Linked DNA regions of Arabidopsis thaliana. The protein of the gene in region 2 interacts with the protein of the main gene of each other region in a pairwise test. Each region holds a gene or a part of one and is shown on either strand. Other genes may lie near its edges.

Region 1 (8,706 bases), on a different chromosome or scaffold from region 2:
ACCAAATTATGATTGATGGATATATTCTTCACTAAGATAACTAACCTGTTTCAAATGGATTTAATTCGATGCTTCTTCTTTCTCCAAAACCGTTAAAGCTAAGTGTTTTCTTGAGTAAGGAAGAGGTAAACTGTATCCCGAGGATTAAAAACTATACATTCGCATATGTATATGCTTAATTGGTTTTAAACCTCAGGATGCAGATTACCCGTTCATCATCAAGTACCTTCATCTTCTTCTTCGTGTTGTTGTTGTTTTATGTTAATGGTGAGAATATATATAGAGCTGGTGAAGCTTATAAAAATAGTAATGGTGCAAAAGAATTATACTTATTCCGAAGGTTTAATGCTTCTGGAACAAATACTCACACAGAAAGACAATATCTTTAGTTGTCCATGGTTTCTTATATGTTCTCATATTTATCTCTAGACTCTAGTTCAGCATATAGATAGACCAATATAAAAATATATGATATAACATGTACGGTTGACGTGGCTAGTGTCTAAGGTTGCCACTATATGTATTCATGAATAATTCAAGAACAAATCGAATAGTATCTCTATTGTTTTTAGAAATTTAACTAAAATTTTTACATGAAACGTGTGGAGAGTGTTTTTCCGCATCCACATAAAGGAGACGGATTGTGAGAGATCAAATCATGAGAAATTGATTCTTTGTAGTTTGTTCTTTAGGAGCCAATGATGGCACCTTCTTAAATTTATTTTTTACTTTGTACCTTTTTAATATACAAATAGTTTTTTGAAAAAATTATTTGACTGCTTTTATATTCTTCTCTCGGCTCATTACATGAACCTCTTCTCAATTATTGAATTTCATATAATTCAAAACATATTTGCTAATACAGTTTATGTTTACATCTTATTCTATATAGACATAATCCAAGAATATAAACAAAAATGGTGTAAACAAACAAAAAGGCTGAGAAATGGTTAGGATCGGAGAATAAATTCTACAAAGAAAAAGATTTACTTTTTTCCCATGAGAGGGAAAGGTTATGTATATATATATATATATATATATATATATATCTTTCTTGTTTTCCAAAAGCAAATGGAAAGTTATTTGAAGCAACAAAAGCACAATTTTATTTTCAATACTTTTGCTCTCATGTGATCTTCAAAAGCCAACGTATTAGTACACACTGAACATTAAACCGAACTCATTTGTTTTGTGTGTTTGAAATCGGCTCAAACTTCTTTTATGAGTAGAAGAATTCAACAATGTTGAGCGGATCGGAGTCAAAACTGCATCCGACTCAAAAAGATAACTCAAATAGTCTGAAATATTTCAAGGTTTAGGGTTTGAAAACATGTTGTTTAGTCAATGTTTACTATCAAGTAAAACAAGATAGTTCAAAATATAATATCAACGATCAATGATAAACATCTTAATCGCGTTCTTCAACGATAATTGTGACATACATAAAAAAAAAAAAAGCACCATGTTTTGAATCATGCCAAAATATTAAAACAATGATAGATGCCTTTTATATTTCACCAAGACATAGACAACTCTAAAGTCTAACCCATGTTTTTAACATTGGTTATTGAATCCAATTTCATTTCTTAAAAAGATAACATTTGTGAAAGTAAGCAAACAACAAAAAAAGAAGAAGAAACATTCTAATATACACATCATATGCATTTCAATTCCCCCATATCTTCTTATACATACCCAAACGTCAAACATATTTTTTCCTTTCCACACAAATAATCTCAACCTACAAAATCATGTAGAAACTGATGATTACTACCACCAATAAAATCTCTCCCAAACTGACGATTTTGCCCTTCATACCCACCACCACCATCGCCACTACCACCATCAAGCCCAAACCTCTGAGCAGTTGTCATCGGAAAAGGCTCCGGTAACCCAATCTGATGATGAAGCCCTAACGTCAAAGACACTCCTCCGTTTGTGCTGCTATTCATCACCGGCACATTCGACGACCCAATTCCATACGAGAAACCAACCGCACTACCGCCGCCGCTCCCACTGTTTACATAGCTGTTGTTGTTGTTTGTGCCATGAACGTCGTCGTTTCGTGCCCGTCTAGGCGGAGATGAGTTGTTAGGTCTTTGCTGTGCCGAGGACGAAGATGGGTTGTTGTTGCTGTTGTCAGGGAAGACGGTGGTGCTAGTACGTTCGTCTCTCCAAGAGGAAGAAGAAGATCTCTGAGATTGTCGAGTCTCCAGCATGTGAATCTCTTCCACCATCGGCTTCCAAACCCTAACTCTTGCGTTTATGAACCAATTCGATACCTAAAATAACATTTTACCATAATAAATTAATAACCCTCAAGCGATAGAAAATCCCTAAATTATTCATTATCACCAACGGATAAATTTTCAAAAACAAAAGTGTAACACTTATTCAAACCTAATAAACCAAATTATAACATAGTTACTATACTAATGATATATGTGAAAAGATTTAAAACATATAATTATTGTCCGACAACAGAAACTCATTTCATAAAAGCATATATTTATCTATGTGACTATGTGCATGCTTAATTAGCAAGAAATTTGTTAAATTGTGAACAAGAAAAGATGGAAAGAGAAAAAAGAAGAAGACTGAAGATATCAGAAGTGAAACCTGATTTCTGGAGAGACCTGTCTGCTTAGCCAGCATGAGTTTGTCTGTATCTGTTGGATAACTGCAACAAAAGACACAGACAACAACAATTTAATATATCATTGTATATACTAACATACACATATATATAGACACATAATTACGCTTGCAACACGACATCTCCAAGTTTGGGAAACAAACAAGCAGTCGACATGTCCCATCTAAAACATACTTCCAAGTAAAAATACACTTCGATACACACATATTTATTCACACTGACACACACATATAAAGCTATTGTTCACAAGCATATATATACAATTTGGTTCATGATCAATTAAACGTTTGCATTTAGTTTAATCAATTGTTGGAACCAAGTTCAAACTCGAATCCAACAACTTTCAAAAGCATTTATATGGCGAGAAGGGTTACTTACGGATGCAAGAAATGATCGAAGAGCCAAGCCCTTAGAACAGTAACAGCACGTTCGGGTAGGCCACGGTGCGGTCTCCAAACAGGAGCATGATGATCAGGAAATCCATGTCTTTGACCAGCAGAACATAAGCCTCTAGAACTATCACTTCCTCCAAATCTTAAAGAATCAGTCTTATTCTCAGAGTTCATCGGATGACCACATTGTTGTTGTTGTTGGATCTTGTTGTTGTGGCTGAATTGAAGCTGGTCCGTTATAGCATTCTTCAAACACTTGAAATGCTTAGACAATGCTTTCAAGGCTAAGTTAGCGTACGGAGCAGCGTGCCCGAGACCTGCAACGCATTCGAATGATCCCATCACAGCTTGTAGCTGCTCATAGTATTGCTTATACCTCTTGTAAACCTTCAAAACGTCACATGGAAATGTTTTTAGATTCCCCCACTTACATAATAAAATGGGTGATTATAAATTTATACATTATTTCCTCACTCAAAAAGTATGTTATATACCTCGGAATAAACTAATTAAAATCTTTAAGTCCCTAGCTTTAAGATCATATAATGCATATATTCCTTTCATAAAGAAGACGTTCTCTTTTTATCACTTAATGTTTATACCCCTAAGATTTGAAGAATCTAATTCACAAATTCAGATCAAGAGCTAAGGAAGCTCTATATAAAGTTACTTCCTCAAGATAATATTATCCTTACTTTAGTATAACCTTAAAATTCTATTAAAAATCAGCATGAAGATGGCAAGCTTGTAATTTATATAATGTATTAAAATGGACGCTATAACATCATCTATTCATGCAAAACGTAGGGAACATTAATTTAATTAACATATGGTATTATAATGAATTAAATAAAATATCATATAATTTTAAAATGGCTTTGAAGGAGTTTCATTTTCCAAGGAAGATCTTTTTAAGAGACATATCATTTAACACATTTTGTCTCCAATTCCAAAGGACACCGACCAAAAACTGTGAACATTTAACACAATAATTCACATACTTGTAAGAAAGTATAGACAATAATTAAAGAAAATTTACAGATTTCAATAATTTAAAGAGATTAGAATTGATCATGTTATTGTATACCTCGTCGAGCATGGAGATGAGTTTTGATTTTTTCTTTCCATTATCTCCTCCGCCGCCATCAGAAACACCGCAGAGATTCTCAACCGTCGGATCAAAAAGCAGAGAAGAATCATCGTCGTCGATGACTTTGTCGGTGTAAATCCCACGACCCACATTACAAAACTCATCAAGAAGCATCTGTGCTGGTTTCAAGAACCTTGATCCTTTAAGAATCGACGCGTAGCCCGTGAAAGGTCCGAGAGGACCAGAGCTTCTAGACGCGATGGTGACGGCGGCGGCGTTGGCTTCACCGGCAGATCTACAGAATCCGGAGTTAACAACACCGGGAACGACTAGATCGTAAGCGAGTCTAGGGTGAGAGGACAAAGATAGAGATAGAGGCTCGGGTTTGAAGACAAGAACGTCTCCGGAAGAAAGTCCGGCGTTAAAGGAATGATCTCCGGCGACGGCGACTGCGGTGGATGAAGAAGAAGAAGGGCCACCGAGAAATCCCATGAAATTACTGTAGCTAGGGTTAGATATGTGGTTGTTGTTGTTGTTGGAGTGAAAGCCACCGGCTGCGAGGAAATCGGAATCAGCGAGAGGAAAGACGCCACCTCCGCCGCCGGAGGAAGGAGGAGGAGGAGGGTGAAAGTGGAAGTGGGAATCGAGAGATGGAATACGAAGTTTGTCTCGCCGGCTTTGTTGAAGAACATGATAAGGCTCGTATGCATCAGCCATGGGAAAGGATGATGTCGATGAGATGCAGAAGAAGAAGAAGAAGAAGAAGAGAGAGAGAGAGTAACAGTGTAAGAGATAATGGCGAAACGAGAGGTTAAGAGAGAGAGAAGCTCTTTTGGTGTCTTTTTGAAGCACGATCAATATGTATATCAAATTTTTCTTTATATGACATATTTTGAAAACCTAAAATATAAAATATCTAATGTTTATAAGACTTGGAGGAATTTAGTATGAGCATTACAAATTTGGTCAAGATTCATCTTTTTGGTGTTTGTTACTAAAGCCAATTCAATGCTCTCTCATAGGTCATCCGTAGAATGGTGAATTAAGTTTAATGATTGCGTGGGATTTTAGTATTTTATATGGTTCTGTGAAATCGTGATTTAGTATTTACGTTATTACACGATTTCGTAAAACTGAAATTGAAAAGACATATTCTTTCTTGAATCATTTTTTCGTCTTAGCGTCCTACAATTTTTTTGTCATTTTTCACTACCTGTTTTGTAGTTTTCTCTTATTTTTGTTACATTTCGTTTTAGTCACACAACTGTTAAAAGTTAATCGTATATATACTGAAGTCCTAAAAATAAATCTCATTATTTTTTTTTAAAACGGGTATTTCAAACGATGGATACATAGTAACTCGATATACTTTCCTCATCATGCAAACAAATTCGATCTTTATAATATATATATATATATAAAATACTGATGAAAATCTTTAACAAAAAAAAATACTGATGAAAAGTGAAAAGTCCCGGGTTTGGTGGGAGAGGCTTTGGGGAATCAAGAGAAGGCGACCGGCTGTAACCGGTGACACTGGAACTGGTTCTTGTACAAAGTGTTCTGTGTCTCAGTCTTTCACATACGTACTGACATTTCTACAACTTTTAAGTCTTCTTTTTGTCGTTTTTCTTCTTTTCTTTTGCTGGAATAAATACCTTTTTACGCTTAAAATATTTAGTCACTCTATTTTTATTCGACAATCATACATTCACACTAATCTCCATAGTTGTAGGCTTGTAGCTATAGTACTAAAAGTAGGGATATCAAAATGGATAACCCAACTCTACTCAACTTATAATCAAATGAGTTTAAGAATAAATGAGTTATGGGTTGACCCAACTCATTTTGTTAAATGTGTTGGGTCAACCTATAACTCATTTAATTTAATGGTTTGAGATGTTAACCCATTTAAGTAATAATTTAATTAATTATTATTATAAAACAATAATAAATAATTATCATTATTAATTCATTATCATCAAACTTAAGATATTTACGGATTTTATTTTTTACAGGTTTACGTTTTAGGTACGGAAAATCACGGATTTACGTTTTGACAGGAAAATTATAGTTTTTTACGTTTTTGGCCGGAAAATGATGGGTTTACGTTTTTGGCTGGAAAATTTCGGGTTTAAGCTTTTCGGCGAAAAAATCTCGGATTTACGTTTTTGGCGGGAAAATCACGGATTTACGTTTTTGACGGAAAAATCATGGGTTTACGTTTTGGGCGAAAAAATAACGGATTTACGTTTTTGGCGGGAAAATCTCGGGTTTACGTTTTTGGCGGGAAAATCACGGGTTTACGTTTTTGGCGGGAAAATCACGGGTTTACATTTTTGGCGGGAAAATCACGGGTTTACGTTTTTGGTGGGAAAATTACGGGTTTACGTTTTTGGCGGGAAAATTAAGGGTTTACGTTTTTGGCGGGAAAATCACGGGTTTACGTTTTTGGCGAGAAAATCACGGGTTTATGTTTTTTGGTGGAAAAATTACGAATTTATTTTTTCTCAATTTCATCGCTTGTATATTTAAGAAATTTGGAAAAATATTAATTTTATTAAATTTGTTTAGATGTGTTGGTTAAACTTAAATTGGCATTGGTTTAGAGATTTTAGTTGGTTTAATTCAATTTTATAAAATTTGATGGGTTAATTGGGTAAACCATTGAAACCATTAACCATTACAACCCAACTCATTTTACTCATCAAACCAATTGACTCATTAACCCATTTGACTCATCAACTCATTTGAGTCAAAATTTTCAACTCATTAGGGTTCATGGGTTGAGTTGAGTTGAGTTGACCCATGAATTTTGACCTATTTTGACATCCCTAACTCAAAGCATGGATGGTATGGTATGACCCGTAAGATTATACATTGAGAACAATCAAATTCTGCAGTTCATATTATATAATTAGAGAAATCACAAAGATTTAAAAAGATGCCTAGATTAATTATGTTAACAAATTTATAGTCCATAAATTAATCAAAATTGTTGTGAATTGTGATCAACCATATTTTATTATAACTAGAACAATCACAATGATTAAAAAAGATGCATAGATTAATTATTGTATATAACATATTTATAGTCCCTAAATTAATCAAAATTGATGTGAATTCTTATCAACCATATATTTTATGTGTTGGATTACATACGTCTGTGAGAGTTATTTGTAATAATTTAAAAACCTAATAAATAATTTGTCACAAAAACAAAAGCGAATACCTTTGCAAAAAATATGTTATAAGATATGCCAGAATATGATTAAACCGGGAAAGTAATTTCGACTGTACTGTAATAATCGTGTTTGAAATAATCATTAGAGGATATTTCCGTTTGCATGGGAAATAATGGGACGTAAATCATTTGAAAAAATGTGTTTCGAATACTAAGCAATACTTTGCGTTACAATATTTTATATTATATAAAAGTATTTCCTCTTTTGGCTAAGATGGACCACAAAAATTGAAAAAGAACCAAGGCACTCCAATAAAGTATTACAGTAAATTAAAGTGCACGTAATTATTAGTTCTTCTCTTCTCTTCTTTTTTTTTTCTTTTTTCTTTTTACATTGCATCACGGGTAACCACACGAAAACATTTTTAAGCAATCGCTCCTTTTTCACCTTCTTGGCTGAACATAAAATAGTATATAACCCAAAAAAAAATTACATATATTTTTCATTATCTGCCTCTATAGATGTAATGCGCGCTTAGATTTGCGACTCTAATTTTAGTAAATTCATAATAATTGTATCATTTCAATTTTCTAGGTTTTTTTTCTTAAATGTTAGTATATTGCACAAAAATAACTTCATGGGGGAGCCCTAGTTACAAAAATAATGGGGATGGTTTGGAATTTTATTAAAACAACATGGATGTGTAAGGCTTGAAACCCAAGTGGTGAGAATTGTCTGGCTGATCGAGATTTTGCAGTGATAAGGGTTGTAGAAAGATTTTGTCATGTGATGTTGCTTTTTCATCCAAAGGCGAGTGTATGTATATTGAGTTAGAGGTGAGGATTAAAATGATGTTGAAGATAAGAAACCATCCCTTATTTATTTGTTGTGGGATATTCATAATATGCCCCCAAGTTCTCAAACGGCCTCGAGACAGCATTCTAATCCAAATAAGGATCCGTGTTTCAGAATCGTGCCAATCAACTTCATGAGGAAGAGGATGTTATAAGGAACAGAAGATAAAATATGTGAAAACGAATCAAGAACTTAATTTCATAAACGAATAAACGATGATCCGGTTTCTTGAGGTAGAAGTGTCCTCAAGAGAGGTAAACACTTGTTAAAGTGCTTGAAGGTCAAGAGTTTGTAGTCGCCCGAGCTCAATCGCGACTAACCTCACATTAACTTTGGTGTCTATGGCTAGTCCTGGTATTAGCAGACCACTTGAATTTAGTACCTAGCTAACGGACCTATTGCAAAACTCTGCAGATTTACCATTTTTCATTTTGCACTGAGGGAAGAGTCTGAGCATCGCTTCTCAACTTGCACAACTCCTCTTCATTTGGTCGTTTACTATTTTGTATCAACATTTTACCTATTTTG
Region 2 (7,933 bases):
AACATAGAATAACAGAAAGGTGAAAGAAAAGGGATCGAATATGCTAGTACTGACTACTGATAGTAGATTGGAAACATTAATAAAACATGATTAAGGTCTAAGTTATACCTTCGTTTTCACCAGCAGATGATATATATTTGATGATCTTTTCTACCAGTGAAAACACGATGGGTAGATACCGTTGCTTCAAGAGAATGTCTTCAGCAGTTGAATTATCTTTAGGAGCTTCATACTTCTTGTAAGCGAGATCATTTAACAATACAGAAATTTCAACATGCGATGACTCTAATACCAACAGAAGACACCTACAAAAGAAATCAGAATGATATTAATCTTTATGTCACTAGGAAAATGTAGGTTAAGTGAGAGTGTAATACAAAGATGTTGTATTTACCTATCAGCTGGAATATCAACATTGGGTAATTTTACCCCGCCGAGAAGCCACTTTTCACCCAATATTGACATCATATTCTCAGCCAGAATCAACGCATGAAGCTTTTCGGAAGGTGCTACACATGAACAAGACAGGTTTCTTAAGTATCTTGAGAGGATTGTTGTCATATAACAAGTAGATGAAATTCAGGGCTGGCAAGAAAAGAATGCCATTAATGGGTATGCCATTTCCAGTGTTCCAAACAAACTACTAACTTACCCACACGGTTCTGCAGAATTGCCACAACACCTGTGCGCATATAGTCTGCCCAATTGTTGTCGGGCATGGAACGAAGAGGTTCATGAAGAAGTTCCTAAGCATAACGAACTTCTATGAGAGACATATAAAAAGATAAGCACACAAAACAAAGATGTAGAGCTTCTACAATGGAAACATAACATGCATATTAAATAACATCAAGACGATGAAGGCAACTGTATTTCTCCAAGTAAAGGAAAATAAAACTTTAATTTTTCCAATTTCAATGGACAGAAATTTTGAAAATTTAGCTGCATTAAATCTACATAAATCATGCTAGTAACTATAGATACTTTTCCGGAGGAAGTTAAGAAGTGAAAACTCACAGAATACTCTGACGAGAAGACTGCAGACAGTAAATGGAGTGCTTCAAACTTCAGGGCATTATGCAACACCGCAAACTGCCGTGCAACAGCAGCAATCTGAATAAAAGTTAACATTATGTTTGGAGTCCAACTTCAGCATTGCAGCTTTAGTAAGTATTGCGAAAAGAAAACAAAAAGTAACCAAGTAAGTAGACTCACCACCAAAGACAGTTCTAAGAAGCGTTCAATAGTCATGCTCCCACAATCAAGCTTACTAACCAATAACTGCAGAATCTTTATAGCAACCTCCATGGCATGTGAACCTGAATAACATGTCTCACATTAGCTCCCAGTGAAAAACTATTATCAAATCCATCTACCTCAACATGGCACGTTTTCTTTGACACCAAATATAATCAATCCGAAATAGCATTCAATGGAATCTAATGTGCATCATATACACAACAAAAGAATGTAAACCCAATGAAAGAGTATGTATTACCATCAGGTAACTCAGACATCTGGGGAGCTATCACTCTCAAGCCTCCAGAGTTAATCAAAGTCATGAGACCAGCTTCACAAGCCGTGGACACCAAATACAGAAGCTCATAGCAATCTTCGAGCATGTTTGTAGTTATTCTGAAATTCCAAAAGCCAATTTCCTAACTTTAGGCAATCACAATATGCAAAAAGTTGAAGACACAGAAGCAAAGCTTGATTAAAAAAAAAACTTCATGGAAAGTCGCAAATGCAAGAATCAGGTGATCTAACATACCCTTTGGACATTACTTCGAGAATAAGGGGAATTCTGGAGACCATCTCTTCTGAAGAAGCTATCTCCGGAACACGGCAGAATGCAGCAAGAACAGTGATAGATATCTGCAGATACACATCACGATTATCAACCCCATCGCCACTGCCACTACCTGCAAAACAAAAAATCGAAACCAGTCAGAGCAACAAACTTTAGTATCTCAACTAAAAAATTCACACTTTGTAGAAACCCCAAAATTGATATTAGTATTTACTGAGACAAAGATCAATAATTCGGGGTTTTGATTACCAGTACGGAAAAGACGGTCGAGAAAGTGAGTACCAACGGCTTCGTAGACCTTGTTGAGAGAAACGATGTCATCGTTCTTACAGAATTTGGTGACGAGAAGTAGACCGGCGAGCCTCTGCTCGTCTCTCTCCCCTTTCAATAGCTTAAGGCAATCGTCAAGCGACGGAGATCGTTCCTCCTGTGGTGCTGCTGCCATAATCACCCAACTCAAAGAGTAACAAAAGTAGACCAAGTCGAGAGAAAGGTAAGCAAAAAAAACTAAAACAAAAGCCGTTCGTTGGAGAAGCTGAAGGAAGAAGAAACAAGTCATTAAGTCGGCATTCAGATTTTGGGCCAAATACCAATGGGCTTTGTTAATAATACAAGTGAAATCATTTAAAATTATCGATATATTAAAAATTGAACCATATAAAAACCGAGCCGAACGTAACCATGCATCAACCGGTGAGAGAAATCAGACGAACACAACAACATCGTAATACTACATTTCAAGCTAGTTTAATTATGATAAATATTGCTTGATACATTCATTACAAACGAACATATTGACACTTTACAAGAAAAAACCCACACTTGCTTAAGCGTTCGTTACAAGACGCAAACCAACGAAACAGATCACTTCCAAAAACTACTAAGTCGTTACAAACAACAATTTGGACTCCAGAATCCGGTTTCATAGGCTAACCGGTATCCACTATACAAATAACACACTCTGTACGAGCATAGAACCGGATTCGTTTCTTTCATATACGGTTCCCAAGAATTCACATGGCAAAGAACCATCCTCTAGTTAGCCGCTATGTCACCTACGACTTCCCGGTCCTGAGTTTGGTTACAAAAGAAGATCTTGACCGGGTTGGTTTAATGAAATTGCGCAATTTGAAAAAGAGAACGGATCTTGTTTTACCGTTTACGTTTGTTCTTGGTGAGAGTAGATGACGTGGAAGAGTTGCTGTTCCAGTTTCTTTTCCTCTGGTTGATGAACCAATTGTTGATCTGTTTCAACTGCAAACCGGTTTCTTGAACCAGTTTTGCCTTATCTTCCTCCTGCAATTCCAAAACCAAATCACGAATTAAAACCTTGCTTTTGACAATGTGGTAACAAAACTTCTCGGCCAAGGTGTTTACAGTTGGGTATGGCCATTTCGAGTGAGTTCGCCACCATTCTTTGAGTACAGAAGTCGTATCTCCTGGCAACTTTCCCGCCCTTCTCTTCCTCATTATCTCTTCTCTTATGTCCACAATCTTCTCTTTGAAACCCTACAGGGGAAAAAAGAAACCGAGCAACATGATTTAACAATGTGTTTTGTATAGTTTGATGTACCATTGCAGCTTGATCAAGCAATTACCTGTTTAAGCTCATGCTTCAGTTCTTTCTTCACACGTTCCATCAAAGATCTCTCTCTCTCGGTTGGAACAAGAGGACCAAACCCCATCAAGCAATCTGAACCGTCCAAACTTCCATCAAACATGTTCACCTCGCTCTCTACTTGATTATCATCTTCATCATCCGACATTGTCTTACCATTACTTTCACTTGGAGAAACTCCTACAAACCAGAACAAAGAAAAACCGATAAAACCAAGACACACATAAAGCAAGAAGACAATAACAAAAAAAAAAAATGATTTGGGACGTTACCAGTTAGGGATTGCAGTGATTGTTCAATCTCCCAACAAGCCGTAATGGCTTCCATTGCATGGACACAAACGTGGTGTTGGAGTTGTTCTTTAAATGAACATAACAAGACAACATAATGTGACTGCATCAACATAATAATCAAAGGTAAGATTCCAATCCATAAGACATACAAACAGAACGTTACAAAAAATAGATTATGCTTTCTTTCTCTTGGACATGCAAAGTCCTTTTCAGCAAGAATCAGACAAACTATTAGTCATCAAAGAAGAAGCTTTATGCAACAAATATAACTTATTTGAGTCAGACAAAGTTCATAATTCGAATTACAAGCTAACCAAAAAAGTAGAAGCAAAGATCATATCGATTGCAAGACTCGAGAAGCGGGAACAATGAGCCACACAAAAATGTGAATTTGCTATACTCAGATAATCAAAGAGAAATAAATGGCTGAATCGTTCACAGTTCAAAACATTAAAATTTTGCAAAATTAGAAAGTGAAACTTACCATGAAATGATCAAGTTCCTTGTTGTCAACAACCACACCAAGAGTGGAGTATTTCGCGGCGACGGTATGCAACTGACTGAGCTGAGCATCGATCCTCGGAATCTGGTCAACGGGAGTCGCAACCCTAAGGCAAGCCACGTGAGCCGCAAGAAGCTGCTCGTACATCGGATGTCTTAAAATCGCCGCCTTATAGCTAGCACTCCGCCAATCTTCACCTCCTACAACGCCGAGTATCGTTTCACCATCGGCGTTGACTCCGTCGATAACTTCAGAACGTACTTCTCCAGTATTTTGCATCTCCGAATGAAAGGAGAGCCAGCGTGGGTTTGTATCAGCAACGGAATTGTCTCCGTTGCGGTGCGGAGGAGCGAGATCGGAATCCGCAGTGGTAAGGGTGGTAGGGAGGTTGAGGAAACTGGCGGTGACAAGCGAAGGTGTTTCAGAGAAGTGACGCTGCGGCGGAGGTTGCTGTGATTGATCGGTGAAGTGTCGGAGAGGAAGGTCTTCTTGTGGAGGAAGGAGGTGGGAGCTGTTAAACGACATTGTTTTCCTGCGTTTTTGGGATCGGAGAAGAGAAGACTGTTTTCTCTTTCCCCTAGTTATTTATCTCTCTGAAGACCAATATTTTTTAATTAATCTTGAATTTTATATTTATATATATTTTTTTTTTTTTTGGACTCTACTTCAATCTCTTTGTTTTAATGTCAACATAAAGCCTGTAACCAAAATGAAGCATAAAATAACTCAACCTACAAGAGCCTGTAATTCTGTAATTCACAAGTTTTGTGAGCAATGATTTGCTTACAAAACTTCTGTTCTAGAGTGTAATTTTCTTCTTTAGGTCTTTATTCTCCAAATTATGATAAGTATATTTACCATTAAACTCATTGTAGATATTTTTAAAACCCAGATATTTTTTTCTTTTTTACATGAAGGAATGTCATTTTTTTTTAATCTCTATACACAAAAGACTTGGGATCCATGAAAAAGAAAATAAGCTCATAAACAAGTTGGCAATTTTTTCTCAAATTTATTGGGCATTTAAAAACGAATCTTTTTCCATGAACACGCCGACAACCCACCAATAGCATTACACCTCCCAAGTTTATATTATAAAAATTCAAATTAAATAGTAGAAAAATGAATGTCCAAAGAGATTGATAGATCTTCTTGTCTTGGATTAGTTGAGCGGAAACTAGGGTTTTAATATAATAATGTATGGAGAATAGTGAAGAAGAAAATGTTTGGAACATAAAAAGTCTATTAGTTGTCCTACTTTTTCCTCTTTACAATTTCCAACAAAAGCTTTTAAATCGGTACAAAGAGAAAGAAAGAAAAAAAAAAGTAGTTAATTTTGCATTAAAAATTGATAACACCATCTATTTAAAACAAATTTTTTCTTCTAACACATCAAATTAAAGAAAACAGAGAGGGAGGGAGGGAGGGAGTAAAAAGTAAAAACCTAATTTTCACCCTCTTCCTAAGAAAAAATCAAGAAGTAATTGAGCATTTTACCCCAAAAAAAGAAGGAAACGGAAAACCAGAATGTGACGGGAGAGTTTCATTACACCACTTATTACATTCACTTTTCTTAGTTGACATCTCTAGCTCCCTTCTTCCCTTCACTATAATTCGATCGCAAATCTTCATATAGGCCAGTTTTTAGCTAGTTCCGTACAATATCTCTTCCTCGGATGGCGCCATGTTGAGATCAGGGAGGACGAAGAAACTCCCCTGATTTTGCGAGTCACTGGTTTTGCAAGATTTTGATCCCTGTAGCCGCTCGAGTTGTGATTTACGAATCAAATCAACAGGTTTCTTGTTTGTGACACGGCCTGAGTTTAAGTCAAGCTGAAACAAGAAAACACAAGAGTCGATGAGACCAGCAAATAGAGAGAAGGGATCTGGAATATCTGATTACTGTAAAGATGGTTAGGGAGAATCTAAATGTTACCTTAATCCTCTTCAGCTTTTGGTTCCTAAGGTTTTGTTCATCGAATGTTGCTCGGAGACTTGCAATCTCCTGTGGAAAAATATTGGGTTTTTTTAAGAATACAATGAAAACCATGATAATAAAACAGAGAATAGCAACGAAAATCTACCTTTTCAAGGTCAAGTCTCTCCTTCAACTTCAAGTTCTCTTCATTTTTAAGCTCAAAAGATGACTGCCAAATATTAAAAGAATAAAAAACCATCAGCTCAATAAAATTTGAATTTTGGAGTGTGTACTTGAAATTCAAAAAGGAGACTTTATATTTACCTTCCTCTTCTTCAATCTCTTGGAGAAACAACTGGTGATTTCGTTTGTGGGAAAAACCTGCAAAACAAAAACGCATTTGATTAGTCAACTATTAAATGGCTGAAGATAACGACAACTGTTTTACTTTTATAATCAATACCCAAGATCTTATTTTAACATACCGGTAAAAAGTTTCTTTTCCCACAACAGAAATTTCAAACAAGTAAGAAAAATATATCGAAGAAACCAAATAGAGCATAAAATTAAAAAATCTCAAATATATAATTGGGAAAGAATTTTTATAGTGAGGATTTGATGCCACATCATGATTATTCCGTGTCATGGGCATTGTCATCTATCGTCATCACTCTTTTAAAGATCACGTGATACCAATCTCTCCGACAAGATCATTTTACTCGTTTCAACTTTCAACCCACAAAACGCTACCGTCTCGAGCATCAAAACGTTCAATAAAACGCGGACGCGTTTGACCAACTAGCTGTTAAGCTGTACTACCCCCAAAATCTAAAAGGAGCTTTAATTATTCCTCAAGACAAAATTAAAGTTGACCGATTTCTAAAAATCCACATCTAACCGGCCACGCAAGATCCGGTTCAATGCGTACCGAGAAAAACAGGTCTCTTATTAAGCTTTGTTACAGAAGATTAGTAGAGTTTTCTAATTACAAAAAATGAGCAGAAAACAAGGAAATTAAGCTTAAAGTGGCTTTGACTTTTTGGAGATTAGATGAATTTAACCTAGAAGCAGGATGGCTCCGGCCGACGGTGTCATCGGCGAATCACGGCGGAGGAATTTTTTCCGGTGAATTTGTTAGAAGTTGAAGAAAACAGACTAAATACGTTCTAGTGAGAATTGAAGCGTGCGAGAGATGACGTCAGGCTAAACTTTATGGATTTTAGGAAAAAAAATGAAGAAAAACAGAGAGACGGCCAAGGATCTTCTCAATTACGAACGGCTAAATCCAGATTTATCGGCCAGATCGGAATCGGATTATCCAGCGAGATGACGGATTTGCCATCTCTCCGGAGCTACCGGATTCGTAATTGAGAGAAAGAAGATAGAGAGAGAAGACTAAATCGAGAGGCAAAAGTTGAAAATCACGATAGGGAAAAGAGAAAGTTACCTTAGATCCAGATCCTGTAGATGTAGAGCAGCTAGCTTGGCGACTGTTATCCTCGAATCCATCGGCGGAAGGAGAAGCAGAGCCGCCACCACTTCCAGATCCGCCGCTCCACGAGAGAGGAGTCTTCGGACTGGCTCTAACGGAATCGACATCTTTCTTCAAGGAAACGAGAACGCCGCCGCCGCCACCAAATCTTGAGGAACGAGACCGTCGTTGACGGATTCCCCACCGCAACGGAGGGAGAATCACCGCCGGATTATCCGACACTACCGTTCCGGCATGCTTCAGCCGTAAAAGAAGCTCAACGACCAAATCGTCGTCAGTTATCGCTACAGCCACCCAATC
Region 3 (8,063 bases), on a different chromosome or scaffold from region 2:
ATGATGCTAGCGAGCACGGAACATCAAATTTCCCTGTTTCAGCTGTACACCGTATAGGGATTCTTGACATCAGAATCTTAAATACAGATAGGCACTCAGGGAACCTTTTGGTCAAGAAACTGGATGGTGATGGTATGTTTGGCCAGGTGGAGCTAGTTCCAATCGATCATGGTCTTTGCTTGCCTGAAACTCTAGAGGACCCTTACTTTGAGTGGATTCATTGGCCACAGGCATCGATCCCATTCTCTGAAGATGAGCTGAAGTACATAGCAAATCTGGATCCTTTAGGAGATTGTGAGATGCTGCGGAGGGAACTTCCAATGGTACGAGAGGCCAGTCTCCGTGTTCTAGTTCTCTGCACAATTTTTCTCAAGGAAGCTGCTGCTAATGGCCTTTGTTTGGCTGAAATTGGTGAGATGATGACTAGAGAGGTTCGTCCTGGAGATGAGGAGCCGAGTGAGATTGAAGTGGTTTGTCTTGAGGCTATGAGTTTGATAGGAGAGAAAGACGCTGAGTCCCCAAGATCAGACTTGGGAAATGATATTGAATTCCAGTTTGATATAGATTGTGAGGAAGTAACTGATTGTACGAAAAAACTAGCATTACCACTCGGACTCACGTTTGGAAATGCTCGTGGTCAGTTGTCAAAGGTGGAAGAAACAACAGAGGATGGGGAAGAAGAAGAAGAAGAAGACAGAGAGGAGGAAGAGAATGACAGAGCTGATCTAGAGAAAATGCCGACGATTAAGCTTTCAATGTCTCTCAAAAGCACTCTTCTTGGTGAGAAGAGTCAGAAGTATCAGAAACACCCAGGAGCAAGAGTGGAGAGCGCATATGCATCATCTGCTCACAGAAGTGCAGACGAACAGATCCCATCAAGCACAAGCTTTGTGAAGCTGTCGGATATGAGCGAAGAAGAGTGGACGATTTTCCTGGAGAAATATCAAGAGCTGCTTTATCCAGCCATTGAAAAGCGCAAGTCGATAACTTTAGGACAGAAGCAGAGGCAGAGGCTGGGGACTTCTTGTCAGTTTTGAGAAGACTGAAGAAGAAGAAGAAGAATAAAAGGATCGTGTAAAGTCGTGTTTCTAAGGGCTTTGCTTAGACTGGATTGTTGGAAACGCGTAAAGGTGAAGATATGAGTGGAATGGATTTAGTGTAAATATTCGTTGGTTACTCTCAGCTTTTAGTATGGAGGAGTCTCGAGAGATGAAGAGAAATTAGTCATTTGTTTCGTTTGTCATTTTGTTTTAACTTCTTAAAATCTTTTGTGATATAAATAACTTGTAGATTTGGAAAAAAGAAAAGAAAAGAAAAGTTAGAGAGCTTTGTTTCATTTTGTTGTTTCATATCATCACCCGTCAATCGTTCTATATCATGCCAATGGCTGCTTCTATCGAGTACACCACATTTAGCTTCACTGTTTGAATCGTTCATCAAATTGTGAGGGATTCGTGACATTATTAGTGTTTGAAGATTTGGTTGCCAAGTAGAGCTAATTCCGATTGATCAAGTTGAAGTACATATGTGATGATCATGTTGTGCACATGTGTTGAATTAACATTCCTCTTCCCTTGCATGGATTTATATGTACAAAAAAGAAGCAGACAATAGCTACAAAAGAAGCAGACAGTAGCTATTCATTACACAACATTGTTGATTCTTACTCTCGACTCTTTCTCCGGGAGCTGTCAATATTTCAAAGACAAAATCTGCTTCCTCCTCTGTTTCGTTTTCACTCTTCTGTTCGAAGTTAATAAAATTCTCGACCGCGGCGCACTATATCAGCAGCTAAAGCTGAGTACAAAGTGAAGAAGAAACATCTACGGCTCCACCTTCATGTCAGCTGTAAGATCAGATAAACATGAAAAGCTTTAGCGAGTTTCAAGTATCTGGTTACAAAAGTATGAAACTTATAGGGCTTTTACTTTCACCTGTTGTATCTTCATGATCAGGTGCAGTGCCGGTTTCATGGTTCATGTGGACAAGATTGTGGTGATCACTTTCATATCCATGTGTTTCCTGTTCAAAACTCACTAACAATATTAGATGAATGCAAGAGAAAGAAATGATTCTGCAAAGATATGTTTATTGTTGGAGTACAATGCGCAACCAAATATATGTACCTGCCGTTTTAATCCTCCACTCAATAGCGACATTGAGGAAATGTTCGGTTGCATGAATCCTGTTTGAGAGAGATACGATACAGGAGGATAAAGCATCGACATGTTGTGGGGAAATGTCGGTGCAGATGATTGAAGAGCCTGCATGAATATATAGAAGACATCAACATCATATCAATGAAGTTACTCGTCAAATGATAAGAAAGAGAAGGGTTTCAACATATGTTACATCTTTTGCAAGGAGGCTTTCGAGGTTAAAATCGAGCACAGGATTCACAGCCGAAAGTTTCATCGATAAAAACTGAAATGCATGGAAGAAGTAACTAACACAAAGTGAGGTTGCTAATTAAATGAAGTCTCAAGAACAGACACTAAGAAAATAGGAAATTCCCAAAGCAAACAAAGGGAAACCTCGATTTGGCATTGAAGTGATTGCACATAGTTAATGATTTCATCGAGCATAACTGCCTTACCAGTCACCTACACAATAAATGCAATGTCCCATTTATATGAAAAGAAAACAGCTTCAGCTTCCATTCTTCTACATGTAGACATCAACATCTAAAAAGAAAAGGACTTACCTTGTCGCAACCTGGCACAAGATCTTGCAAGAACTTCATCCTTTCACTGATTTTTTCTCTTCTTACCTACGATAACAAGTTTAACCAAATTCAAATACAACAACAAAAGAAATTTGCTTTCTATTCAACTTCAAAAAAATATTGTTCCTACTCTTTCAGCAAGACTGTGACTATTAGTAGCCTGGCCTCTTCGTGCCCTCATGTGAATATACCCATCCTTTAAAGAATCAGAAGGTTGCTTCTCACTGTTTGTCTTGTTCGCATTTGAAGTTGGACTTTGCTCATCCTTTTGCTTTTTATCTTCTTCTTCTTCACAATCCTACCAACAGAAATATTATCAACGAAAGACCAAAAAACACAAAATACAAAAGGAGTGCTACAAATCTCTATACCTTCCCAATTCTTTTCCTCTTCTTACTACTAAACCCCTTGGAAGATGTTTGCCCACACTTAGCATCATCATGACCATTACCTCCACTAGATTGAGAATCCTCTGATACATTATTAATCGATCTCTCTTTCACTAACTTAGATGCATCAGTAAGAGGACCATTATCTAGTTTGGATCCACTAGGAATCTGTGTATCTTGAAGAAACAAGCCAGTTGAATCTGGAACTCCAAGAGATGATTGTTGTTGGTTCATCATCATTTCACCACATCCAAAAAAAGAAAACTTTGCAGCACGCTCAATGAATCCTGAATCTGCAGGGAACTGAGCCATATTCCAACCCATTTCAAGAGGTATATCAATATTATTATTACCTCTAAAGGAAGTGTCTGCATCTGTGTGGACATTGAAACCACCATCATGCCAAAGAGTTTCTCTGAATGAATCCATCATCGGAGAAGGACCCAACATTGGATTCTCCGGAGGATACAAATCCACTGGCGTATTGACCAAATCCTTCTTCTTTGCGGCAAACTCGTCTTTGTCACTCATTCTCTTAAAAGTAGTAAAGCCCCAATTTTGATCACATGAAACTCAACTTTCTACACAAGAACTGAGGAATTGAAGTAAACACACGAGCAAATCAGAGAAAAGTTGAGAATAAAAGAGTAGAATCAGTCAACGGTAGATAAAGGAGCATACTTTAAGTACAAACAAACCTTAATTCAGAGAAAAAGATAAAGAAAACATTGAGTCATGTTTTTCAAAAGAGAATCATTATTCGTGGTAAAAAGTGTCAGAATTTCAGATTCTGTGCCACTTTCTCTCTACGAGTTTTCAAATATCTTTTCCTTTCAAATTTTCTTACCAAAAAGCTTTATTGAACTGGGTTCTGTTTCTGCTGCAATAAAGAGAAGAGCGTTGATGGTCTTTTTAGAGATGGAGAGTTAAAAACGAGTTTAAGAAGAATGAAAAAAAAAAAGTTCCTGAATTCATATACCCACGCTTGCATTAAAAACAGAGCTTATGATCATTAAACATAAACATTAAACACAGCCATGATCTGAACATTAAAAATGTTAGGGTGTTTTGAGAAATGGTCAAATGCAAAACTAAGGATTTCATACAAAAGAAGCCTAACAAATCCGATGAAATTAACGTCTCAAATAAAAAATGAAGACATTAATCTCAATTCTTAGAGATTTTTGGCTAGTGAGTAGTGTCATAGGTCCAAATTTTGGAATTCTAAAAGAGTAATTTACATGCATGCCCATCCAAAGATAGCACAACTCGTGTAATTGTCGAGCTAGCTCCTATGAAAGTAAAAGAATCATTTTAGATTAGATCAACTTAATATGTGCTTAGAAAAATGTTGTATGTTTTATCACGATTTACCTATCAACCCAATATCAAGCTGTAATCGTTTTTTTTTTTGACACCACTTAAATTGTTAAACTATTATGCAAAAGTGAAGGAGGGAGCTGCTGGACGGTCCGGTGAGCACGAGGGCCGAGGACATAATTAGTTGGCCTTGGGACTTTCAATTGCTAAAGACCTAAATAAATATTTTAAGAATATTCAACCCACACCTTTTACTTTTATCATTTCTTCCTAGATTTTTGTGTGTGATTTTAGGTCGTGTGATTCTCAAAACTGGTGAGTTGTGGTGCCCGTCCTGAAGACAAGCCCACCTAAACAGTGGTTTTGGATGTGTTTTTTTTTCTCCCATACCTTTGTTTTTTTTTTATAACATTTTCTAGTTAAACAAAAATTATGGATCTATTGTCTTGTATGGAAACTAAGCTATGATAAATTTATAATGTTTTTCAGTCATATTTTGGCGTTGGTGTTCGAATTCGTGACTTTGAAAATATTTTAATATCCATTTAAGGATGATCAACTTAGAATACCAATTTGAGAACCATCCATGCCGGATCAAAAATGTTAATTGCATGCCCCTAGACTAAGTCTATACATATATTAAAATATATAATTAGGAAATTTTCGCTTTATATTCTTGTTGAAATGAATCAATCAATCCTCGTATTGACCTTTACAATACATGTACTAATTAAGATAGAAACTAAGATATACTAAAGCTTTCAAGTTTCAGTTTCCATATAAATTTCGGCCATATATAACAATTTAAACTAGTTTTATTACAGTCGGTATTCAAATCCATCATACCGCTAACTTTAAATGTTCTTAGATATAAACGGTTGAGCTACTGACTCTTGAAACTTCCATATGATCTTTACTACAACGTTTGTTCAATATATTTACCCGATCGTCTAAAAAATATTGAATTTATTCAACAGTTATAAATGGAAGACAAAACATTGGTCTTTTCAAAGGAAAAACAACATCAAAAGCAAAAAGCCAAAGCGAAAATGCACATAGATATTTAAGTACACACATAATTCCATTTCTTATAATGACAACGTCTCGAAAGGGAAAGCTTTTAAACCGTGTGGATACACTTATTAAATACACTCTTACTTTGAGTCTCGCTTCATCATGTATGTAAATGGTTAGTATAGTGGTGGAGAGGGAGAGCTATAGTAAGGCGGTGGTGATGGCGAACTATAGACATATGGAGGAGGCTTGTAAACATATGGAGCCGGCGGTGGAGAGTAGCTATAGACATATGGAGGAGGCTTGTAAACATATGGAGCCGGCGGTGGAGAGTAGCTATAGACATATGGGGGAGGTTTGTAAACATATGGAGCTGGCGGTGGAGAGTAGTTATAGACATATGGAGGAGGCTTGTAAACATATGGAGGAGGCTTATAAACATATGGAGCCGGTGGTGGTGAGTAGCTATCGACGTATGGAGGTGGTGGAGGAGACTTGTAAACATATGGAGGAGGTGGTGGTGAAGTATAGACATAAGGAGGTGGTGGAGGAGACTTATATACATATGGAGGAGGCGGTGGCGAGCTGTAAACATATGGAGGTGGTGGTGGCGAGCTATATACGTAGGGAGGTGGTGGAGGCGAGCTATAGACGTAGGGAGGTGGTGGAGGAGATTTGTAAACATAAGGAGGTGGTGGTGGTGAGCTGTACACATAAGGAGGCGGTGGTGGAGATTTGTAGACATATGGAGGTGGTGGTGGAGAACTGTAGACGTAAGGAGGTGGTGGCGGAGACTTGTAAACATATGGAGGAGGTGGTGGAGAGCTATAGACATAAGGAGGAGGTGGAGGAGATTTGTAGACATATGGAGGTGGTGGTGGAGAAGAGTAGACGTAAGGTGGTGGAGGAGGCGACTTGTAGACATAAGGAGGAGGAGGTGGAGAGCTATATACGTAAGGAGGTGGTGGAGGAGATTGGTAGACATATGGCGGTGGTGGTGGAGGACTATAGACGTAAGGAGGTGGTGGAGGAGACTTATAAACATATGGTGGTGGTGGTGGGGAACTATAGACATAAGGAGGAGGTGGTGGAGAGCTATAGACATAAGGAGGTGGTGGCGGGGACTTGTAAACATATGGAGGAGGTGGTGGGGAGCTGTAGACATAGGGAGGTGGTGGGGGAGACTTGTAAACATATGGAGGAGGTGGAGGGGAGCTATAGACGTAGGGAGGTGGTGGGGGAGAGTTGTAAACATATGGAGGAGGTGGTGGGGAGCTATAGACGTAAGGAGGTGGTGGGGGAGAACTGTAGATATATGGAGGGGGTTTGTAAACATATGGAGGAGGCGATGGAGAGTTATAAACATATGGTGGAGGACTGTTGTAAACATATGGCGGAAGCGGTGAATACGGTGTTGGTGTTGGAGAGTATTGAGCACTTGTATACGCAACCATGGAATACAAGGCTAAGACCACCATAAGTAAAGATGGCCAATTAGGACTGGCCATGTTGAGAAACTTGTGTGCTCTCTTAGTTTCGTTTAAGACTCTCTAACCAAATTATTTTTGAATGTGTTGTTAATTACAAACTAGCGGTTTATATAGCCGGTCATCACTGCAACTGGTATGGTTGTTTATTTAAGTTTATGTATATATGTTTCTTAGTGCAACATGGTTATATTTTTAAATAAGTCAAATTAACTTGAGAAATTGTTAAAGGTAAAACTTAGGAAGAAGTCTTTGGTAGCTACCCCTTACCATATTCCTAAACCGGATGGGTAGACTTTGAAGTTTTCAATCCAAATTGGACGTCATTAGTGCAGCCCTAGTTGCTATAAGGAACAAGCAAAATAATTTTTCCATATTCTCTATCATTCGACTTGTAAATATAAGTTATCTATTAGATTTCGTTCCAAGATACACAAACATATATATTGTCTTAATACATACAGATTTTATAATTGACCTTGCAAAACCTTTGCTTTATGTTCCAAAACCACGTTTCAAATATGTTTTCCAGGATGTGTCGGTTCTTTTCTCTCTAAATAATATCAGAAGACTACAACAACTTGCTTGCAAATTCAAAAACAATTATGGTCTTATGGATATTTTTTTTATATACATATTTTATAGAAGATTTCTCCTTTCACATATACAATTAAAAATTATCGGCAACCATGACAGAGGAAACGTTTTGGTTTAAACTTTGAAGTTGTCAACGTAAATTCCATGTTTTGTTTATTGATTTGTATAGTTTTCTAACTTATTGTTGGTGCATATCGATCAAAACCTTTCTGTGATACAATGTTTAGTAGAACCATATATCTCGCTAGTCACGTATCAGAACCCTTTCTGTGATACAAATACAATGTTTAGTAACCATATCGCTAGTCGCGTACATAGGCTCAGGTGTCCACAGTCCACAAAAAGCATTTAGCCTTTCTGTTTGATAATCGAATCCTAGACTATGAGAAAACTGGAACGCAGAAAGCGGAAAAACGGTATATTTCCCCACTAGAAGTATCGCATCATGCTAGATATAGCCCAAACTTTGACCTCGGTCTATATATCCATGAATTGGTAGTTATACTCCTATTTCTCCCAGAAAGGAAAGTT

The links.
Region 1: the proteins of KNAT5 (region 2) and RPL interact in a two-hybrid assay, tested with the Arabidopsis thaliana proteins (one large-scale study listed by BioGRID).
Region 3: the proteins of KNAT5 (region 2) and CIB5 interact in a two-hybrid assay, tested with the Arabidopsis thaliana proteins (one large-scale study listed by BioGRID).

What each region holds. Positions count from the first base shown.
Region 1 is NC_003076.8:391,903-400,608, reverse strand, and holds RPL (POX (plant homeobox) family protein), read right to left. Parts: upstream 5,043-8,706; 5' UTR 4,856-5,042; coding exon 4,136-4,855; intron 3,436-4,135; coding exon 3,035-3,435; intron 2,681-3,034; coding exon 2,620-2,680; intron 2,283-2,619; coding exon 1,737-2,282; 3' UTR 1,484-1,736; downstream 1-1,483.
Region 2 is NC_003075.7:15,490,942-15,498,874, reverse strand, and holds KNAT5 (homeobox protein knotted-1-like 5), read right to left. Parts: upstream 4,887-7,933; 5' UTR 4,749-4,886; coding exon 4,206-4,748; intron 3,822-4,205; coding exon 3,701-3,821; intron 3,609-3,700; coding exon 3,409-3,608; intron 3,320-3,408; coding exon 3,188-3,319; intron 3,107-3,187; coding exon 2,967-3,106; coding exon of another isoform or gene 2,963-2,966; exon of another isoform or gene 2,882-2,962; coding exon 2,866-2,881; 3' UTR 2,494-2,865; downstream 1-2,493. Other genes in the region: AT4G32050 (neurochondrin family protein), read right to left, coding at 109-305, 395-509, 653-746, 1,018-1,113, 1,216-1,319, 1,499-1,635, 1,772-1,922, 2,060-2,255; AT4G32030 (uncharacterized protein), read right to left, coding at 5,868-6,056, 6,160-6,228, 6,308-6,370, 6,466-6,522, 7,589-7,933.
Region 3 is NC_003070.9:9,082,796-9,090,858, reverse strand, and holds CIB5 (cryptochrome-interacting basic-helix-loop-helix 5), read right to left. Parts: upstream 4,056-8,063; 5' UTR 3,646-4,055; coding exon 3,097-3,645; intron 3,024-3,096; coding exon 2,856-3,023; intron 2,771-2,855; coding exon 2,705-2,770; intron 2,604-2,704; coding exon 2,535-2,603; intron 2,425-2,534; coding exon 2,353-2,424; intron 2,265-2,352; coding exon 2,127-2,264; intron 2,023-2,126; coding exon 1,935-2,022; coding exon of another isoform or gene 1,897-1,934; exon of another isoform or gene 1,847-1,896; coding exon 1,824-1,846; 3' UTR 1,484-1,823; downstream 1-1,483. Other genes in the region: AT1G26270 (Phosphatidylinositol 3- and 4-kinase family protein), read left to right, coding at 1-1,037; AT1G26255 (uncharacterized protein), read left to right, coding at 5,621-5,738, 5,793-6,325, 6,383-6,535, 6,710-6,928; AT1G26250 (Proline-rich extensin-like family protein), read right to left, coding at 5,625-6,956. UniProt on the Arabidopsis thaliana protein: Transcriptional activator involved in cell elongation. Regulates the expression of a subset of genes involved in cell expansion by binding to the G-box motif.